Saccharomyces cerevisiae S288C: one gene and its partners. The protein of the gene in region 3 interacts with the protein of the main gene of each other region in a pairwise test. Each region holds a gene or a part of one and is shown on either strand. Other genes may lie near its edges.

Region 1 (6,608 bases), on a different chromosome or scaffold from region 3:
GCTGCAAGTGACTTTACGAAGGCCAAGCGTTTCTTGGTGGAAATTACTGCAGTGTACTGGGTTTCGTTGGAGGCCCAGCCTTCATCTGCGTCTTGTTTATTCATTCTCATCTGATTATTATATCTTGATCGGTGCAAAAAAATTTTGAGGTACTTAAAATTTATTTTGCATAGAGATATTCGCATAAATGGAAAACCTAAGCTTTTCAGGTACGACTATTTGGCAACATCGTTGAACCTGGCTTTTCGGTCCTAACTTTGCACCATCTAGGATGAGACTATCTTGACTGTTTTACTTTTACGCATCGCTAGAAAATACGTGCGCGTTGCCAAATCAAAATTCCCGCAAATTGATGCGGTAGCGTAGTTCTGTTCCAAAATGAAAGTGAAACAACATAATGTTCCTTCTAGTTTTCGTGTCTGAAAGCTAAACCTCAAAGTTGAAACTAAAGCATGATTCCCCACCTCCTTCCTATTAGTCTTTTTTCCCGTAAAAGTTGGAAAATATCTGGGGTACTTGCGTCAGCTGTTCAGATCTTCTCTTACCGCTGTCGTGTCTTGTCTACAATGTCAGGTTGGCAGCCTAAGTTTTGGATTTAATAACCCTAGGGCTTTTCATTCTTTTATCAATCAGAACATTTACATGAAGAGGGCTGGAATAAAAAAAAAATATTCGGTTCTCCTCCATGCATAATGACGTAGTATTCTTATTGGCGCCAAACATAGTGTCATAATGCTTTTTCAACGATTTTAAAGTAACTCTTAGTGGATTGGAAAGGTCGCCTTTTCGATGGTAGCGTGCATTTTCTCGTCATTTTTTTTTTACTTGTCGTCTTTTCTTTACTGCTTCACCTCTTATCAAGCAAGTGTTTTTCGTGTCTCCCTGTGCCAGTCAGAAAATACATATGATTGGCAACTGTATATCCATTGAGATCGACTCGGTTATCTGTTAATGGAAATTATTGCTAGTAATTATAAATACCTAAAAACAACATCCTAACAGGCTTAAGTAACACTACTAGATGTTGAAGCAGCAGCGTTGTCAATTTCTATTCATTTGACATTTTTCCGAAATCATAAGCGGGCGTTTGAACTATGTATAGCGCCTATGTGGTATTAACCCATACTATATCATATAAAATTTTTCCTCGGAAGAGTGCCAGAATGAAATTTCTTGTTCCTTGGTGAAGGTCAAGAACTAGCAAAGAAAAGAACATCTGTTTATGAATTTGACAAGAATTTTGTTTTAACACCAATATAATATCACCTTTATAAAATTTACTGAGAAATTAAATACTGTATAAGTCATTAAAATATGCATATTGAGCTTGTTTAGTTTATTTCCTGCTAAACAAACTCTTGTAAAATGGTTGGTCATCATGCATTAGGTCATCAGCGTTGTAGTCAGCGCCTCTCTTGGATACTGGAACCCAGGAAGCTGATTTCCATGGTAGAACACCTTCGGCGTACATATCATTAACTTCTTCTAATGATAAACCTTTAGTTTCTGGAACGAAGAAAAAGACGTAAAAGTAAGCGAAAACCATACAGCCCATGAAAACGTAACCGTAGTAGAAGTTGATGGCACCAGTAATAAATGGGGTGAAGAAACTAATCAAGAAACCCCAGATCCAGTTAGCAGCACTGGCAATAGACATACACTTGGATTTGACTCTTAATGGGAAACATTCTGAAATAACAACGTAAGCAATTGGGGCCCAGGTAGTAGCGAAACAGAAAATGTAGAAACATGCGAAAACAATCATACAGTTACCAGCACCCTTTGAAGATGGTTGATCTTGACCGTTTGGCCATAATCTGGTAACACCAACAGAGGCATAGACAACATAACAGCAGACCATACCGACAGCACCCCACATCAAACAGTTACGACGGCCAAAACGGTCAACGGTGTACAGAGAACAACAAGTGGAGAAGAAGTTGACGACACCAAAGACAATAGAAGTTTCAAAAGAGTCACTTAAACCGACAGCCTGGAAAACAATGGTACCGTAGTAGAAGAAATAGTTATCACCAGTTAATTGTTGTAGAGATTGAATCATGATACCCATCATAGTACGTTGAAACATGGCTGGTTTACCAGTGAATAATTCGCCCCAAGATGCAGTACCAGCGGCTCTCATTTCTTCGACACTGGCTTCGATAGTTTCCAACTCATATTGAATGTATGGATGGTCAGGTGGGCATTTGTTAACTTTAGCTAAAGAAGCCCTGGCTTCGTCGATTCTGCCAGCTTCAACCAAATAACGTGGAGATTCAGGAACAAACATCATACCACCAATCATAAATAAGGCCCAGGCGAAACACAAACCTAATGGAACTCTCCATTGGACAGAGTTTGAGTAATTCTTGGTACCAAAATTGGTACAGTAACCTAAGAAAATACCTAAAGTAATCATGACTTGGTAACATGAAACCAAGGTGCCTCTCATTTCACTGGGGGCGACCTCAGATATTAGCATGGGAGATAAAACTGTGATACCACCGACACCTAAACCAGAGATAATTCTACCAATGAAATATTGGTACCACTTGTTGATCGAGGCTATTTGAATAATGATACCGATAGTGTAGATTACTACAACGACAATCAAACCGATTCTACGACCATACATATCACCTAGCTTGGCTAAGACGATACCACCAATGGCACAACCAATGTTAAAAATAGAGACAATTAAACCAGTTCTCACCTTGGACAAGTAATGACTACCGTCGTGGTGCTTCATACCAAATCTTCTTAGAAAATCAGTTTGAGCAACAAAACCAGAAATGGTACCAGTATCCCATCCAAATATGAAACCACCGAAAGCAACCATAACACAACAGATAGAAACCGTTACGTAGACACCTTTTCCGGTGTTTGGAGGGGCAACGGCGGGTTGCACTTGACTTTCACTTAAGTTGTCGTGAAAACTTTCATTTTTACCTTCTGGAGTATTCATGGCCTTTGAACGACCAGATTCCAATTCATATGAGTTGGATGAATTGGATTTCTGAGGAGATATTAGATCGGGAGTTGAATTCATGATTTTACGTATATCAACTAGTTGACGATTATGATATCTTTATAGATTTTAAGGTGGGGAAAGAACATGAGACCCCAGATGGAATTGATTATGGGGACATTGTTGCCTTTATATATAATTTCAATATACTAATTCAAATGATTAAAAACGTGAGGGGGACACGCAACTTCGGGTGTTAAGAAATATTTTGCTACATTAGATAATGGTGGAGTTTCCTGGCTTGTCGGATAAAAGCCATCAAATGTCGCAGCAGCTCATGTTTACGTTTGCTGTCTTCTGCCCACGTCATATGAGTGGTATTCTTCTATCAGCACTTGATGAATATTCTTTTTCTCATATATCTGAAAGACAAAAGATCGGCACGGCAATGCCCTGCAGCATTTCTTCCTAGTTTTTCCGAATTTCCATTACGTATTGGATCTTGTGCGCATATTTGTCAGTCCTTCACGGAAAAAAAAAAAGAGCACTGGGTCACTTCGGAAAAACTTTTGACTCAATGCAACAGTGTCATAATCCTTTGCGCTGTCTCTTTGAAGAAAAATCAGGAGTGCAAGATATCGATTAATTCCTTGGAAGTTATGATGGTTAGTCTTAGTTTAACTCTCTTGAAGAAGGGTTTTTTCAGTTGGTCAACACTCTTTAGAGGTAAAAAAAAAAAAAAAAAAAAAAAAAAGAGAATTCTTCATGTAATTTACCATGATTCTACGTTTTTGCAAGCAAAAATGAAGATAATCCGAGCGCATGCGCAAGTAGTCCCTGCCATGCCGCTTCGGAAAAACTTTCGAAACCAATACTCCTTACATCCGCCTTGAATTTAGGACCTACAATTGTTGTCTCTTCTGCTTGAACCAATAAGCCCTAGAAACCTTACACCCTAATTTGCACAAGAAAACTACGAAAAAATTTTTTCCTCTTTTTTCCGCAGCTCCAATCTCGCCCTGCTATTTTTTTGGTTCGGAGAAAAATAGTCGGTCGATATGAATTGAAGTTTCATTGTGGCCACTCGTTTAGGAATGGAATAACCTCCGCGAATGGAAAAAAAGAACTCGGAATATCAAAAATTCCGGCTCAAAGGAAAAATTTGCTTCAGGAGGGGGGAATTATATTCCAGATGAGACCTGCAAGGATTTCTGTGTGAGGTTTTCTCGGAGGAATAATAGTTTTCCAAAAATTACTTTTGGCAACTACGTGAATATAATTGACTACGGATATCCTTCGAGAAGGCCATAAAAAGAACCGTGACAGGGCCAAACAGAAAAATAATGAAGACAAGTTTGCTTTTTCTCTCACTGTATTTGAGGATCGGAAGCTTTTTGCACTGAAAATATTCTGGGTTAACAAGGTTTAAAGAAGCAAACTGCCACAAAGTATATGAGAGTATAACCGGACGGTACCTATACTTTGAAGTTGGAATAAATACGGGGTAGACAAAAAGGATGTGTTTCTGTATGTCTGATGAGAATGATGTCATCAAAGAACGTAAACAACAGTAACTGTCTATATTCTTGCTTTTTATTATGCGCTGTTACAGCAGGTAGCGGAGTTTTCAGTTCTTTCCCTAGTATGTAGTATGAAGGATAATACGGTAAAAGAACGGGGCTCTTGATTCATCATATAAATTTATTTTCCCCTGTTGAAACCTCGAGTAACCGTCCTCACTGTTTTATTACCAAGGATGAGCTCGAGCAGTTGTAAGAGAGAAGTGGGCAGAAAAGTATAAGTAACAAGAAACGATATACAAGTTCTTGTTGTTAGGCGTAGCAACCCTTTCTCCCCTGGTTTGATCCTACTTAAAATAAAGAAAAAAAACAAAAACGTCATGATGATTTTGATATTATTAGACATACGTAATTTAGTTGAATTAAAGGAATAACAGGCAGCCCTATTAACCACGGACAAAATATCTCTGCATATGATTGCATTATTTGTAAACTATGAATGAACATATGAACGAAAACGATTAATATTAATATTAAAATTTGAAATGGTGCAATGCTGAACATTGCAAGTATGCGAAAATAGTTGATCCTACACTACAAGAGATTATTTTTCTTTAGTGAACATCCTTTTATAAAATGGTCTCGGATCATTTCTAGTAGCGTCTAGGTCATAATCTGTTGTTCTCCTAGATGGTGGGATCCATTTGGTAGACTTCCAAGGTAGCACATTTTCTTCATACATTTCGTTGACTTCTTCTAATGTTAAGCCCTTTGTCTCTGGAACAAAGAAGAACACATAAAAGTATGCGAACACCATACAACCCATAAAGACATAGCCATAATAGAAATTGATTGCTGAAGTAATAAATGGAGTGAAAAAACTGATCAAGAACCCCCAAATCCAGTTACAGGCACTTGCAATCGACATTGCTTTACCACGTACTCTTAAGGGATACGACTCAGAGATAAGGACATAGGCAACGGGGGCCCAAGTGGTAGCGAAACAGAAAATGTAGAAACATGCGAAAACAATCATACAGTTACCAGCACCCTTTGAAGATGGTTGATCTTGACCGTTTGGCCATAATCTGGTAACACCAACAGAGGCATAGACGACATAGCAACAAATCATACCTACACAGCCCCATAACAAACAATTACGACGACCAAAACGATCGACGGTATATAGCGAGAAAAAAGTCGAAACAAAATTAACAACACCCAAAACAATAGCAGTTTCAAATGAATCTTCCAAACCAACAGCCTGGAAAATTGTAGTACCATAGTAAAAGAAGTAATTGTCACCTGTCAGCTGTTGTAAAGATTGAATCATCATACCCATTAGTGTACGTCTGAACATCTGGGGCTTACCAGTAACCAATTCCCCCCAAGAAGCAGAGCCCGCCAATCTCTCAGCTTCAATAGAAGACTGATAGTTCTCCATTTCTAAAGTTACTAAAGGAGAGTCTTCAGTGGTTTTGTTAGCTCTTGCTAAGGACCGCTTGGCCTCTTCAATTTTTCCCACTTCTACCAGATAACGTGGGGATTCAGGAACGAACGTCATACCAACAATCATAAAAATAGACCATGCAAAGCATAAGCCTAATGGTACCCTCCATTGGACAGAGTTTGAGTAATTCTTGGTACCAAAATTAGTACAATATCCCAAAAAGATACCGAAAGTGATCATTAATTGGTAACATGAAACCAGAGTACCACGCAACTGCTTAGGCGACACTTCAGAAATTAGCATAGGCGCCAAAACTGTAATACCACCAACGCCCAGTCCTGAGATGATTCTTCCAATGAAATATTGATACCATTTGTCAATGGAGGCGATTTGGATGATGATCCCAATTGAGTAAATGACGACAACAGTCATCAGACCAATCTTACGTCCATACATATCACCGAGCTTTGACAAAACTATACCTCCGATAGCGCAGCCGATGTTGAAAATAGAAACCATCAAACCGGTTCTGACATCGGAAAGATAGGTAGTCCCGTTTGCACGGGTGCTGCCAAATCGCCTAATGAAGTCTGTTTGCCTGACAAAACCAGATATAGTACCAGTATCCCACCCAAACACGAACCCACCAAAAGCAACCATCAAACAGCAG
Region 2 (6,903 bases), on a different chromosome or scaffold from region 3:
AGGTTCCGGCTGAGCTAGCAGTGCCCTTAAATGCTTGATTGCCTTCGGACTCAGGGTGATCAGCGCCTTTCTTGGTCTCAATTTCCTCTTTCTTTTCTTGGGAGGTTCTGTGCAAGAGCAGTCATTCTTGGATACTGCAGCAGCTATTTGCTCGTCTATAGCTTTATTCTGCTTCTTGATGGCCTCCTCATGAGATTTGATGGTCTCACGCGAAGGGAATGCGTAGCTCGACCACTTCGGGCTTTTAGAAGCCTTGCTACTCTTGCTCTGATTGGAAACTATGAATTTGAAGGGCTTCTTACCTGGACGTTGACTATCTGGAGAGACAGAGTCTGCAGCTGCGGGCACTGTCTTCGGTATGAATTTTAATTTGAAAGGATTTACGTTGTTGATTGTGCGAGACATTGTGCCATTCGTACCGCCTCGCCAAAATCCTCCAGTTGAAAGGAATCTGTGTGCCAGCAGTACTGAATTCCTGCTTCTTCCTGTGTTTATCATTATGTTACGTTATTGTTCCGATCGTTTGTTATACTACCAAATCAAAAAAATCTAAAATGGTCTTTCGTACGAGTGCAAAAATGGTGGCCAAATGTATAAATAAATAAATAAGACGAGTAAAATAATGTCAATAAATAACAGTTTCTTAGTAATTCTAAAGGATTTACAAATATTTGCAAAATTCCATTACTCTTCCTTGCTTTCCTGTCCTCTTTCCCTTTCCTTTATGAATTAAAAGCATCTCAATCTCTTTCCTTTATTCCGTTGAAATTCCCTGTCAATTTTAATCCAAAATAAAGAAGTCATTAAACGGGCATTTACCGGGTGACTGTTATCTGACCAATGAAATCTGAGGGTATGACTAATAAGCCCCCGCCCGAGTTTCGGCCAAGGGTACGGACAACGCCGAGAACCGGCGATGAGAAGAACAATAGCTTTTATCTATTTCTTATTAGAGAGGGATTATTAATCATTAATTAGTGTTTTATTTAGTAACTATGGGCTATACATAACAACCACATAAGAGGAGTCTTGGAGGAAAAAAATGGGAAAAAAAAAAATAGTAGAAAAAAAAGGGGATATCACTACTCTCTAAGTACTCTTGTGCTTGTGCATAGAAAAAGATTTCCTTTGTTCTGTAGTTGTGTGTCTTTTTTGATTGTTTTTTTTTTTTTTTTTAATTTTTTTTTGTAATTTCTTTATATGTCAGCTTTACGCTGCACAGTGTCTATAATGCTATGTCGTTATCGAGCCCTTTGAGCGTGGGGCAGGGTGAGTAATAACAATGAAATAAAAAAATGCAAATATAGAAAGAGCATGATTTCTGCTTTTCTTTTTCTTAAGCGGCGTAAGCATACTTGGATTTCTTTCTGATAGATTCACCATATTTTAAGAATAGTAAAGGCACGGGAATCATCGCAGCGGCAAATAGACCTAATAACAAACCAGCCCAACCGATACCCATGCCACGGAACATATATCCTGCAAACAATGGGAAGCATGCACCAAATGCAGACCTCATGAAAGTGTTTGCTGCGACGGCAGAAGCTGCCAACAATAGATACGATTCAATGATATAGTTTAAACATGGCAAGAAAATACCCATTAAACCGAACCCGATGAAGGCCCCTCCTACTGTGGGGACCATCCAATGAATCTTGTGAGGATAGTAGCCCGTCCAACAGAACCATAAGATACCAATAGGGAAAACGGTACCTGCAATGACCATTGCGTACAATCTGGCCTCGGGCACTAATTTCCCCTTGGCTCTACATCTTTTCAAATAATCGTTGTCCATATACCAAATGAAAGCAGCACACACCATCATACCGATAATCAAGGCGATGTATGGCAACTCACCGTTTTCAGTAAACCCATAACCCTCCACAAAGACAAGTGGGTAGGCTTCCAGTAACAAATACAAGATACCGTAGACAAAAGAGTTGTAAATAGTCACGAATAGTAGCAATGGTTCCACGAAAAGCATAATGATAGGCCTCGTCACAGTTTTTTGGACAATGTCTTTGATGGATAGCTCCACGTCTTCATGAGCAGCATGAATACCCCAGTTATTACTTTGCTTTCTCATCTGTTTGGCCTTGTTAACCAAAATGGTAGGGTGATGTGTTTCTTCAAAGAACAATACGATGGCAACGAAAACTGCGGAAGCGAAACAACCGACAACATATTCTAACCATCTCCAGGTAGTTCTTTGTGCGATATAAGAACCCATGACAGGCGATAAAATGGGGCCTACAAAAACACCTAGAGAAAATAGCGCAATGGCTTTACCTCTAACATTAGTATCAAACATGTCGGCAAACGCGGCGGGGACGACGGCCATGGGTGCTGCCCCGATAAAACCACCAAAGAATCTACATATGAAAATAGTTTGCAGGTTCTCAGCAGTAGCGACAGCAAATTGGAAAAGGGCAAATCCAAACGCAGATAAAACCAGAACACCCTTTCTACCGTACAATTCAGAAAGAGGAGCATAGATAACCGGTGAGGCCGCAAACCCAAGAACAAAAAGCGTGATACCCAAAATGGCGACAACTTCGATGACGTGGTATATCTCGCAGATTTGCGGCACTGCAGAGGCAAAAATGGAAGAACACATAGCAATGGCAATAGAATCCAGACATAAGACCAGACATAGCAGCACTTTCTTCTTCATGGGCCAGTTAAATGGATGTAGTGGGTCGTTAGGACCATCAAAAGTAACCTCGTACAGGTCTCTGCTCGGCAACGATGGAGGGTAAGGTCTGTCACCACCCATGGGCGCACAATTGGTATAATCAACCTCTACACGGTCAGGCTCGTTAACAGACCCAGTAAGGATTTTAGTTAATCTTCTCGTGATATTAACCTCTGATTCTGCAGCAGAATTCATAGTCGTCGTTCTTTGAATCGCTAAATCTGCACCACCATTGCCCTCCGTAGCAGTTGTGTATTTGGCACCTTCACCGGTGAAATCTACAGGTTCGACGCCTGTGGTTCCCGTGGTGCCCGTCGAATGCATATCGCTGGATGAGCTTCTTGACGAGTCTGATGGCAGCAGATGATTTTCCTTATTAGAAATGGGAGAATGATCCGACATTGTCTCTGTCTAGTTTTCTCTTGCTTCTTTGACTAAAAAAAAAAGTGACTGATAAAAGATCCAGAAATAAAGAGTTCCCGATATTTAGTATATGATCTCGTTGCAAGGGTGCGAAGAACCAATTTCAGATTATTGGATTTTTCTCTTCTATAGACCAAGATTATTTTTGAAAACTGGTGACTCAAGGCATACGAGCAGAAAGAAACATCAAGATCAAATGAGGTACCCTTTATATATAGAACACATTACTTGATAGTATATTCTGCACACATAAAAAAAAAAAAGAAAATGACAATGTTCAACGTTAAATTTTTCTTCCTTTTTCTTTAGGGAATTCCTACGATCGTTTCCTTTTAAAGTAAAACTCCCGATACGAAGATTTCTGTGTACCGACGGACGGAAATCTCGAATGGCTCTACTGTGAGACGGCTTCATAGCGACATAGACGGAAGGGTTTGCTTCCTTCCTTCCTTCCGCGTCCGCATCCGTTTCCGCATCCGCCTTCCGTATCCGCTTTTCGCTCGGTGCTTCTCTTTCCACGGAAAATCCTGCTCCTGCTCCATGGAACCAAAGCAACGGGGTCTGGCGGAACCTATAATCCGTTGTGACCGGGCCCGCATAAGGAATTCTCGGCTCTTAAAATAATCTATCCTGCGCAGAAAATACTGGCTGGCAAAAAAGAAATACTAAATCAGACTCCTTGTCTTTACGTTGGCTATGTAGTCCAAGCTTGGCAGTACTACTGGTGCCTGGTTATAAGATTGATTTTTGTGACTCTTGCGGAAAGGTTCGCCGAGCAGGGACCCTGGATGAAAAAATTTCTTGATGAGGCATCAGTATAAATCACTAGGGGGCTGTACATGCATGGTCGTTTAAAATCCGACTACGCACATTAACTCTTTTTGGCACTAAAAGCGCTCGGGGTTAAGTGTACCTACCCCTCTCCGGCCGTAAAAAAATGAAGGTAATGTTTTCAATTTTCACCTTTTAGTCATTATTGTTGTTATTGTTATCACTCAAATTAAATAAAAAGAAAGAAACTACTTAGAATAAATACTAACATTAATTGTATTGCGCCCCGCTCGCCTCGAAGTCATAGTGGGCTTGTTTCTCTTTTCAGCCACTTGTATGAAATACTCTGAGGCTGCAGAAAATGCACTATTGTCCTCCATACCCTTGCGTGGTACTCGTTAATCTGTGTTTTTTCTTCTTCGTTTAGTAACTTAGTATTGATCAACTTCCTGCAATAGGGAACCACAGTCATGTTTTCGAATTTCAAGAAGTTACCCTTCTCAGTGGCCTTCTTGATTAACATGTCGCTTTCAATCCTGATACCATACTCACCATCCTTATAATAACCTGGTTCGTTACTTATTATGTTACCCGCTCTTAAGGGGAAATTCATCAGATGTGGCCTAAAGCCGACACCCATGGGTCCTTCGTGAACGTTTAAAAATGATCCGATACCATGGCCTGTGCCATGTTTGTAATCTAACCCGCGGGACCATAAAAACTGCCTAGCGATGGCGTCGATATTAAACCCGGGAGTGTTTTCGGGAAAAATCAACCTCTCTAGGGCTAAGCCACCTTTAAGTACCAGTGTGTAATTATCCATTTCTTCTTTGGTTGGCTTTGTTAAGTGAATTGTTCTTGTTATATCAGTTGTACCCTCCAAGAATTGCGAACCGGAGTCGCAAAGATATATCTTGGTAGGATCAATCATCGAAGAGTTCTCTACGGGCGGCGAATAATGTATGATGGCGGCGTTACTACCTGTGGAGGATATTGTTTCGAAGGAATTGCCCATGAAGTTCCTTTGGGTTTTCCTAATCTCGGTCAATTTTTCTGCGGCACGATATTCATCTATCAGTGCCTCGCGCCCCACTAATTGCTGCTCCAGCCATGCAAAATACTGCACTAAACATACTGCGTCTTTGACCTGCGCCTTGTGTGCGTTTTTTATTTCGATGTCATTCTTGATAGATTTCAAAACATCGATGGGTGAGTGAATTATCGCAAAGTTTTGTGCAGTCATTTTTTTAGCTATTGCACCGTTAGCGTTGGTTGAGGTGTTCAAACAACGAACCATCTGCCACGATGCACTATCAGGAATCAAAAATTCATGCTCCGCAGAAGAAGCCTGCGAAGTTATCTTTGTTAAATGTTCCCATATCTGTTCGTAAGGTCTGACTTCAATACCGTTTATCTTAAAATATTCCGATATGTCATCATTGAAGGGGTTATTGGTGAAAAGAATGGTTTCGTCTTCGTTAATAGCCACGTAGGAGAAAAAAACTGGATTATAGTCAATGTCGGATCCACGCAAGTTCAACAACCAACAAATTTCATCCAACGCAACTACTATGAAAGTATTCCTACCGGTCGTCGCAGAGGAAGCCTTATCATTCAGCTTTTTCAGTAACTTTTCCTTCTTGTCTTTGAATTCTTCACCATGAAACTCGTATTTTAACAGTAGTAAATCGTTACAAGGCCTTTCAGGTAGAGTTTCAAAATCAGGCCAAATACTGTCAACTAAGTTTTCCTCCACGGGAACCAGCTCCACTTTACCCTTTGCGTCATATTTAGTGTCAATCATTTTTCTAAAAGAAACATAGTCGTTGAAAGTGATAAGTTTTGGGTCAATACCTATCTTCAACACCATTCCCTCTTTATTGCCAAGTCCCTTGGCCATTTCCAAAGCTTCTCTGACACACCATTCTTGCCAAGTGATTGGGTCTTCGTTTTGCCTCAAAAGTGTCCAATTATAATCTAGTTCTTGTCTAGCTTGATTGAAATATCTTCCATCAGTACTCAAAATGGATTTCCCATCCGGATGGTCATCGTTGAAATTTAACAAGTCTCTGGTGATACAGGCTACACCGGCCGATCCGGAAAACCCTGAAATGAAGGCGCGCCTTTGATCTCGCAATGATACATATTCGGACTGATGTTCGTCACAACTGGGCACAATATAACAACACAAATCGTGTTTCTTCATCTCCTGACGCAACTTCAACAATCTATCAGTAGTGTTAACTTCCCTGTTAACAGCGCATAGAGAGTCACATGAGTAAACAGACCCATTTCCAGCACTGCTACCTCCGCCAGCGCCCTTCAACTCGTTGAGAAGCATGCTGGAGGACCTCCTTGAATTTTCTAACTGTCTTAAAAATAGAGAGGCTCTACGACCTTGCCTAGACAGTAAGCCTGGAGAACACGTACAATCCGCACATGGCCTAAACGGTCTGGGGCTGTGTGATGCCGATGTTCCTCTCATGTGCGTGCCAGGTACATGGGAAATCGAGTGAGCCCTGCCGTCACTGGTGGATGGTTTCGAAGTCATATGAAGATTTTGTTTGTAATTATTGGTTTCGCTCTGTTGAGGTCTCCGTTTTTTTTTTATTCTTTTTTTTTTTAGCTATGCAGTCTTTTTGCCAGTGCTTCCTGCCTTTCCTGTATTTGTAAATATTGCACCTATTAAGACTAAACTGACTCAGTTTTTGTATGTCGCTTCCTTCTTGTTCCATCCCTCATTCGAAGTATTTCTGAAAAAAGAAAACGTAGAAGAAAATTCGGGAAAATGGGGTGCGATTTTTAGGGGTCACCCGGGGATATACCTTCGGGTAACACCAGAAGTCGTCAAAAACAAAACAAAATTAAACTAAACTCTGGCGGCTAAAAGATAATCATAATGCACATAGGGAAAGCTTTCTACCATATTTGAACACTTTAACGGTTAGTTGAAATAATAAGAAATAATTATATGTTTATTTTTACGTGGGTTATAAAGACGGGTAAATTATCTT
Region 3 (9,534 bases):
TGTTACCGAAGGCACCTTGACCGGATCTACCGGTACCACCACCACCAACTCTTGGAATACGAGCGACGGCACGACCGGTACCCCAGGATTCAGCGGAGGTTTGGTGACCAGCCTTTTCAGAAACAGCGTAAGCTTGTCTCTTGTTCTTGTTCACAGAGGTGAAAACAGTGTGGACAATGTCAGGACGGATAGGAGCGGAGAAGACAGCTGGCAATGGCAAGGCATTGGCAGTAGCTTCACCAGTCAAAGAGTGAACAGTAACTTGTGGACGGGACATTATTATTGGTATATACCCTAGTAAATGACTATGAATATGTAAGCGATTGCTGATAGGAAAGAAATATTATTTTCAATAATAATAGTAGTGTAACGTATTCATGATCTTCATGAAAACTTTTCCAGAGTACTTGAAAAAAAAAAAATGTTAAAAAAATTGCGTCTGCGCGATGCTTTCGTAAATAATTATATTTCTAACGGAATAGACAATTCATGCCTTCAGTGCAGTTCTTAGCAATATGCGCAGTTGTTTTATAATTCAGATACGCTGAGGAAAGCGCTTCTAAATTGTTATTTTCCCATTTGTTCCAATCTATCAAAACTAACGTTATCTATATTCAAAAATTCCTGTAAGATGAATACCGTTACGATAAATAAGGCAGGACTTACGGAACATGTAGGGTCCGGATAAGGGTTGCTTTATTGCGAAATGTTCTTATAGTGCAACCCTTAATAGAGTTATGAAAACTTTTCATAAAACAGAAAATTTTTATCACTCTTTTCAACCAAGCTGTCGAATGAACTATGCAGAAAAAAAGAATAATAAAAAATTACAATTTGGTAATTGGGAGAGGTCGCTGCATGCACTTCTTAAGACAAAAATAAGTTTACTCATTTTCTAAGTTGGTCAGCTGTAATCTATCGTGGTCATTTCTTGTTCTCACTTCTTTCGAATATTATTTCTGAAAAATACTGCTGCAATATAGTATATGTTGTTCAATCACAAAGCTCCAGGGTATGACTTGCCACAATAGTGATTTGCAAATATAAGCAGACATTAGTGGGCAAGTTAACCGTTTAGCAACACTATTGTTTCTACTGGATGTCTTTCCTTTGAGTAATATAGAATGACCTTCCTAAATAGAATAAGACACAGAAACTGTGGTATGGAGGCTGTTGTTTTCCTGTGTCCAATTTTTTTATTTTCTTTTGTCTAAAGAAGGGACAGGACAGGTAAGGGTTGACAGGCCAGATAATTTACCAAGTTTTGTTAATCATATGAAAGGGATATAAAAATGAAACAAAATAGAAAAAATGTAGAAACACTAAATTTGAAGTTCAATTTTGGTGACCAGTTTGAGGAGCCTCAGTTTTTTTGTCTTATTCTTTTCGTTTAGCTTGTACTTGCAACACCTTGCTTAGATCGTAATCCAATATTTTGAGTCGAAACCCAAGGGTAAAATAAACTTTTTTACTCAACAAGACTTGACTTTTGAAAACTACGAGAGTTATACACAATGTAACTATTAACATGGTAATACAAGACTTTTTTTTTGTATCTATTATAAACTATACTTATTGTTAATTATATGAATGTCAGTATAAAAGTGAAACGAGATGTACTCGTGTCTTCTTCTATAGTGTAAAATGAGAATTAAGAATTAAAGGCAGATGAATGCACAAAATGTTAAGTTATCTGAAGCCCACATTACTGCTTCTTTTTCCTTATGTTTTTAATTTTATTGAGTATAGATACGGGGCTTAGGAAGGAAGATTGTCTTACATGGAAGAGGTAATACACACAAACCATAGCAATGATATTGAAGAAAATGTAAATCCAAAATATTCCAAAATTTCTCCACAAGTAGCTATACTTAGAGCTGATATGTGTCAAATAATTATCTCCAACTTCGTAAATACAGTATGCACAATCTGACGTAGCATCAGGATTTTCGATGTAACCAGTAGCTTTTTCCAAAAAGGGTTTCATGTACTCTCCACACGTTGAGCCGTTTGGTGGGTTGAAGTAGTTTAGTTCTTTCTTTTTGCATACGACTGGTTTTTTGTGCAGCATAATTCCGACCAGATTCTGAACAAAATATGTGTATGGGGAAGCCTTCCACATGAATGTCCAGAAGCCAGGCATCAATGAGACAGGTTGTGTAACACCACAGAAAGAAAGCATAAATGACAGACACAAACCTAAGATAACATTAGCGGATGGAAGGTTCGGTGACATATATAGGATCATTAAGCCAAGACCAACATAGTATAACTGGAACATAATGCAGTAATTCAAAAAGTACACCGCAGATCTTGACGCTTCGAAGAAGATTCTTAATGGAAAATACGATGAGACAAAGAAAATTGTCGAAAAAAATAAATGATAGGGAAGTTCGCTCAAGTACTGAGTGATCAACACCAGCGACCAGTGAAACATGTTAGATTGGGATTCCCTAACTTCAAAAAGTTCTCTGGAGGCAATAGCACGTCCTTGGATTTGGTTCATTGCAGGAGCAGACAAGATAATAGAGATAAATGCCGCGAACATCGCATTTTGTAAGCCGACATAACTTTTACCAACATTGAAAAATGTGAAACCAATATACAGACCACCAACCAGCATTAGCATCATCTTTGACATGATGTAATTCAGACTTCTCCAAAATGAAGTAGAGGTTCTGATTAAAACATATCTGAACTGGTAAGCATAAGAAGTAGCATATTTGGAAGGTTTGTCTCCAACTTCGGATTTAGTTTCTTGTTTCGATAAATCATTTATTAAATCCTGTACTTTTTCTTTTGTTTGTTCAAACTCGACAGAGTTCAACCATTTTTCGTGCCAGTCTTCTTTGACGGATGCTGTGGCACCGGCACCAATAGCCTCTAAAATATATTCAGCAGGATTTTCACTAGAATCACATTTTCTTGCCCCATTCCTTTCAAAGTAGTTCAAAATGGTGGCAGAGTTCTTACCAATATCTCCGAAATAAACAGTTTGTCCACCCTTCCTCAAAAGTAGTAATCTATCAAACTCTTCGAACAGAGTAGCTGAAGGTTGATGGATCGTACAAAGAATGGATTGGCCAGCTTTTGATAACTTTCTTAATAATTGAATAATGGCCCATGAAGATTGAGAATCCAAACCTGATGTAGGTTCATCGAGGAATAATAATAAGTCTGGTTTGGCGACTAGTTCAACACCAATAGACAGCTTCTTTCTCTGTTCAACGTTTAAACCACAACCAACCTCACCAACAAGGGCTTCCGCATACTCTTCCATTCCCAAAACTCTGATGATTTTTTCCACATAATCCATTTTTTCAGAATCAGGCAAATGCTGAGGGCGACGCATACGAGCAGAAAACTGCAACGATTCCCTAACAGTTAACTCTGCGATATGTATATCCTGTTGTTGTACATAACCTGTACGCCTTTCGAAACTCGCATCAATGGGACGTCCATTGACAAGCATATCACCAGTAATGATACCGACATTTCTTTGAGCAAGAGTATTTAACAAAGTTGTTTTACCAGCACCTGACTCTCCCATCAAGGCCGTCATGGTACCTGGAATACAATAACCTGAAACATTATCCAAAAGCATTCTCTTACCGCCTTCATATGGAATAGTAAAGCATACGTCCTTCCAAATGAAAACACCTTTGGCTTCTAAATCATCAAATACTTCATCATTTGCGCCGCTACTTTCACTGGAGAATTGCTCTTTGGCATCTATATCATTGACATTGTCTGGAGATTCTTCATCTGCATGTGCGATAAATCTTTTTGATCCTTTCTTGAAGATAAGAGCATCACCACCACCTTTCACAGGCCTCTTATATTCTGTGAATATCACTTTCAAAACAACATAACCCAGTAAAAAGCACCACAAGATACCAAAGTTTCTCCACGTGTGCTTATAAACGTACTGAAATTGATTTTTAAGGTAGTCATCACCAAGCACATAAGACTGACCTGGTTTCGAACCAACAAAAGCACATACTTTGTAGTCATCGGATAAATTATCATAGTCTCCTCCACTGGGTACTAGAGTGTTAGCACAATCCATATGCCTACCGTGAAATTCGGCATTTAACATCGACTCGAAGGCGTACCTGATAGGTAGTACGTACGATATCCATTTAAACCATGGATGCATCGAAGGCAATTGGATCATATAGGTAGAGTACATTGAGATAGACATCATCAGAATACCCGAGATAGAGTTAGCTTGAGAAAGAGTGTCACATACTGAAGAAACCATCTCAAATAAACCATTGATCGCCTCTGAACACATGGTTAAGAACAAATAGATGGTAAAAAATGATCCCGCTGTTCTGTGCAACCCAGATAGGAAGAATAAAATGATAAAGAAACAGGTCAAACCAATCATTCTGAAGGGGAAAGATGCCAGAGTGGAGCCAATTGCCTCAGCTGAAGGATGATACAAAGAATAGCCCTTGTGCTTTTGTAAGATTGGCCTATGTTCAAAAGAAATATTCGCCAGTCCCATCAAAGAATAATATAGTAGCGCAAAATACAACACACCACCTCTTGAAAAAGCACCGGAAGTGGATGAAGGGGTATTGTAAAATAATGATCCAGTAATAAAAGATTGAATTATTGCAGAGCAGACATTGATGACTGTATAACTCTTGTTACCGTAAATTCTTTGGAACCCACGTTGGGTACACAGTTTAACTTGTTCCCAATATGACACTGTATAATAAGACTTCTTTCTCGTATATTTGGATTTCTCTTGAGCCATCGATTCGTCATAAACTTCTTTAGTCTTTTCGGTATTGACCTTCTCTTTATAAGCAGCGATATCTTTTTTCATTTGAGCAAACTCTGGAGAATTTAACCAATATGTTTCGAATTCCTCAGCGGTTCTTGGTACTTTATTTTCATAACCTGGCTTGATCAGATGGAATCCATTTGGATCAGTCAACGCGGTTAAAAATTCAGCTGTTGCTTGCCTTGGAGGACACAAATAACCCATTTTTGCGAAATAAGGTTTTGCCTCGTGGATCAAACCAAAATAAATTTGCTTACCAGAATAAAGGACAGTGACTTTATCAAATGTTTCGTAAATGTTTTCACTTGCCTGATAAATTGTAACAAAAGCGGTTGATTTCAATAAGTTTGTCATAATACGGATGGCTTTTGCGTATTCTAAGGCCGTAGACGCATCCAAACCTCTAGTGGCATTATCCCAACAGTAAATGGAACCTTTGGCTGCCAAAGCCTCGGCAATGGAAACACGCTTACGTTCACCACCAGATACACCTCTAACGAAATCGTTACCAACTTTGGTATTATAGGTATGCCTTAGACCGAAAATGGTTGCATATAAATCTCTTCTGGATGCAATGTATTCCTTTTTGGAAACGTTATTGACTCTGAGAGCAGGCGTTTTGCAGGCAATAGCGAAATCCAAAGTTTGCTTAACTGTTAAATAAGGGAAATGAACATCCAACTCACCATTGTAAATAACATCTGCTTTATATCGTTTCATCATTTCTTCTTGGGGAATACCATCATATGCTACTTCACCGGAAACACCACCGGCAAACTGATCTATTTCACCAGCTGTTACTTTTAAAAAGGAGGAACAACCAGCACCAGGCCTTCCAAGAACCAAAATCATTTCACCCGCTTCTGCCAGGGCATTGACATTGCTTATGATCTGTCTCATCTTTTGATGCCTCTTAGCCTTAATACCTTTAAAGATGGTCAACGGTAAACAAAGAATGTTACCAAAGGTAGCACCTTCTAGGGCACTCGCATCCACACCTTTAGCGCTTACGTCCTCTATGGTAACACCAGCCTTGCGGATATGGATGCCTTGCTCATCAGCGTCTCTTACAAAACTTTCAAAGATGGCATGGGCATCGAACCCATCGTCACTATCTGAATCCATATTAAAGGCACCGCTTCTCGTTGTATGACGGGATAGTGCATCTGCAAATGACTCCACTTTAGATACGACATCTGGCGCCATTTCAGACACAGTGGCACTAATCTGGCTCGCAGTGTCTCTTGCAGGTCCTGTCAGCATTTTTGTTAGTTTATCCGCCGGGGTATCGCTCTGCTCATCTTTGTCATGGGTTATGCCCGTAAATGATTCTTCTGAAGCTGCAAAAGAAGCGCTTGAGCTTCTAGCGACAGCATTATGAGAGCTATCTTGCGTGCTTTTGATATTGCTCATTGAATTCTCTTTACGTATTTTGGTAGCTGTGTTATTCTATCCACTTTTTTACTGCTTTCGGTCTTCGATATAGTTTTTCTTTTTTTATGTCTCTGCGGGTACGTCCGCTATACCTTCGTTTTCTCAGGGAGCTTGAACTCTAATCAATGGAAGGAGAAAATAATCAATGTTGAAGACGATGGATGCACTGAGAATGTAATGCACTGGTGATATAGTAACTCCTATATCCTACAGTGAGCTTTTTTTTTTTTGACCTCGCAACACTTCAACTTGAAAAACAAAAGATACAAATACACTAGGTTCGTATATATTGTTTTCGTTAGGTATTTATTTATCTACAAGCATATACAAGCATAAAAAGTGGTGAGGCGATAGCGGTGAGGGAGGGGCACTACTCATCATTTGTTTTATATGTTGATGTTGCGTAGTCACTATTAGTAATACCAATACCCAGCGGGGTTGCAGGGAATACAATGGAAAGACCTAAAGAAAATAGAAAACGGATTTAAACGGAAATGGGCGGACATTTAGTCATATGTGCGCGGAACCAGACGACTGGGAAAGGATCGAAAGGCATCCGCGGAAACTTAAAATAGCTCCGCGGATGCTAGATTTCTACGAGTCATACATAGTCTGGCGTGAAGGTAATTTTTTTTTATGTCTCCGTTCTTTTCCAAATGGGGTGATCCGTGGAGGGCGGTGCTTCTTTCGCGCCACTTCCTTGCCGTGGAAAAATGTGTACGGTTACCATGGTCACATAACCTCTGTGTGCGGAGCCACTCTGACTCGCATCAACCGGGCTATGGTTGCATCGGATGCTGGAATGGGTTCTATTGGACTCACCAACTTGTTTCTTTATAGAGTGTAAGAGGTATGAGTAAACTTTTAATATTTAAAGGTTGTTCCAAGAAGGTGTTTAGTGTTATTGTTCGTACAAACAAGTACCCAAGGCAGGCTTCGAAACTATAATTGCGTCTTTTAGTTCTTCATCTGTGAGATCCGGATATCTTACATTGTAGAATTTTTCGATTAGTGCTTTTCGTACCTGTTCCACGTTCCCATTAGCGCCACTAGGAACAAGGTGGATAGTGCAACCGCCCCAACCAGCGCCAGTGAGACGGGAGCCGAAAGAACCATTTGCTAGGGCAATCGAGCATATTTGATTGGTTTCTATGCACGAACATTCATAAAGTTTATCACAAGAGGCCTGGGACTCATTCATTAGTCGGCCAAAATCTGTAAAGAAATCTTCGTCCGTGTGAAAAGTGGCACTTGTCATCATTTTTAAAGCCTTAAGCACCCTTAAGGATTCGGAGTAAACGTGTTTAGCTCTTTGATATAGTTTCAAGACTTGGAAGCGGACGGGAAAAGTTGTCAGGTAATCTCTAGTGAACTCCTCACGTGAACAGTTTAGCGCCGTAGAGGCTTCATGTACAGTGAATCCGCTCTTTTTCCTCGAGAAAGATTCTTCTACCAATTGTAGCATCTTGAGTAAACGTTCAATACCAGTTCCGATATCTCCATTCCATGGTTGGGCTTGGTTTTCGTATCTGGCGTAGTAAGCATCCATAAAATCTCTTAGATTCCCTCTTTCTGAGTTAGAATTGTCCTTGTGAGATGGTAAGGCCACGCTGTATCTGGTCGCCAAGGCGTTGGCAGCAACTGTTACCTCTATTACTCTTAAATTGTAATTTGTAGGAGCAGTTTCGAATTTATTAGACTTTACAAGAGTATTGGCGATGACGAAACTGATTTCATGATTTTTCAATTGAGGAAACTTGAAAGGTGTGGCCTTTAGTTTTGGCCTAAACTCTACGTATAGAGCATGATCTTCTTCCCCATAAACAGACGTTGCTTGATCCATACCACCATTATTGACTCCAACATAGTGCTCAGCAACCGCTGTGATGCGGGTCAAGTCTTTTTTGGAAATATCAAAATTTTTTCCCATATTGGCTCTAATTGTGGCTAGTGCTGCCGCGCAAGTAAATGCAGATGAGAGTCCACCACCAGTAGGAATATCGCTCTGGCAAAAGATCTGCGCACCTACTAAGGGTGTATTATTAAATCTTTCCGGAGCAATTTTTTTCAAGTATGAATGTGCCACATGTAGTCCGCATTTAAAGTAATTCGACCATTCCGACACAGACGGATCTATGGCCATGTAGGAACCATCTAAAGGCAGATCAAACTTTCGCTGAGCAAATTTAGGGTCCGCATTTGTTAAGGTAATGGATGGATTTTTTTCGTCTAAAATTTTAACTGCGCAAAGCATATCCACATCAATGGCTAATGGCAAAACTGAAAAATCGCAATAATCTATATGCTCACCAATCAGATTTACTCTGCCAGGAGACCTAGCGATAAAATCAGGTTTGACATGGTATGTTTGGAAAAATGCATCTACAACCGCTAAATGTTTTTGTTCGAAAGACCTTGGTAAATCTCTGACCGGAGAACTGAATATTGGAACGTTTGTATTCATACTATGTGTTGCCCTACCTTTTTACTTTTATTTTCTCTTTTTGCACTCCTGATTCCGCTAATAGGAAGTATGAATACCTGGGGTTGTCAATGTGGTAACAAAGGTGTTGCCTCACTTGTCGCTTATGATGATTATATACGTTTCAGTAAAAATTTTACTGCCTATGTGTTGCAGGCGGTCAATCAATTGCATAAAAGACCGTGTGATGGCTTGGCATGGCGATTTCATTCTTTCAAGAATTCCACATGTTAAAATAGTGAAGGAGCATGTTCGGCACACAGTGGACCGAACGTGGGGTAAGTGCACTAGGGTCCGGTTAAACGGATCTCGCATTGATGAGGCAACGCTAATTATCAACATATAGATTGTTATCTATCTGCATGAACACGAAATCTTTACTTGACGACTTGAGGCTGATGGTGTTTATGCAAAGAAACCACTGTGTTTAATATGTGTCACTGTTTGATATTACTGTCAGCGTAGAAGATAATAGTAAAAGCGGTTAATAAGTGTATTTGAGATAAGTGTGATAAAGTTTTTACAGCGAAAAGACGATAAATACAAGAAAATGATTACGAGGATACGGAGAGAGGTATGTACATGTGTATTTATATACTAAGCTGCCGGCGGTTGTTTGCAAGACCGAGAAAAGGCTAGCAAGAATCGGGTCATTGTAGCGTATGCGCCTGTGAACATTCTCTTCAACAAGTTTGATTCCATTGCGGTGAAATGGTAAAAGTCAACCCCCTGCGATGTATATTTTCCTGTACAATCAATCAAAAAGCCAAATGATTTAGCATTATCTTTACATCTTGTTATTTTACAGATTTTATGTTTA

What was found. Proteins that work in one complex are often made in the same cells at the same time.
Region 1: the proteins of SNQ2 (region 3) and HXT1 interact in binary tests that used the Saccharomyces cerevisiae proteins (3 or more experiments, as listed by UniProt).
Region 2: the proteins of SNQ2 (region 3) and TPO1 interact in a protein complementation assay, tested with the Saccharomyces cerevisiae proteins (one large-scale study listed by BioGRID).

What each region holds. Positions count from the first base shown.
Region 1 is NC_001140.6:289,577-296,184, forward strand, and holds HXT1 (hexose transporter HXT1), read right to left. Parts: upstream 3,050-6,608; coding exon 1,337-3,049; downstream 1-1,336. Other genes in the region: AHT1 (Aht1p), read left to right, coding at 1-114; hexose transporter HXT5, read right to left, coding at 5,093-6,608. UniProt on the Saccharomyces cerevisiae protein: Low-affinity glucose transporter. HXT1 is as well involved in the transport of mannose.
Region 2 is NC_001144.5:80,998-87,900, reverse strand, and holds TPO1 (polyamine transporter TPO1), read right to left. Parts: upstream 3,098-6,903; coding exon 1,337-3,097; downstream 1-1,336. Other genes in the region: Fe-binding Fe/S cluster assembly protein ISA1, read right to left, coding at 1-498; FRA1 (aminopeptidase P), read right to left, coding at 4,191-6,440.
Region 3 is NC_001136.10:462,596-472,129, reverse strand, and holds SNQ2 (ATP-binding cassette transporter SNQ2), read right to left. Parts: upstream 6,212-9,534; coding exon 1,706-6,211; downstream 1-1,705. Other genes in the region: 60S ribosomal protein uL4 RPL4B, read right to left, coding at 1-277; YDR010C (uncharacterized protein), read left to right, coding at 6,747-7,079; transcriptional regulator GAL3, read right to left, coding at 7,134-8,696. UniProt on the Saccharomyces cerevisiae protein: Could be an ATP-dependent permease. Confers hyper-resistance to the mutagens 4-nitroquinoline-N-oxide (4-NQO) and triaziquone, as well as to the chemicals sulphomethuron methyl phenanthroline when present in multiple copies.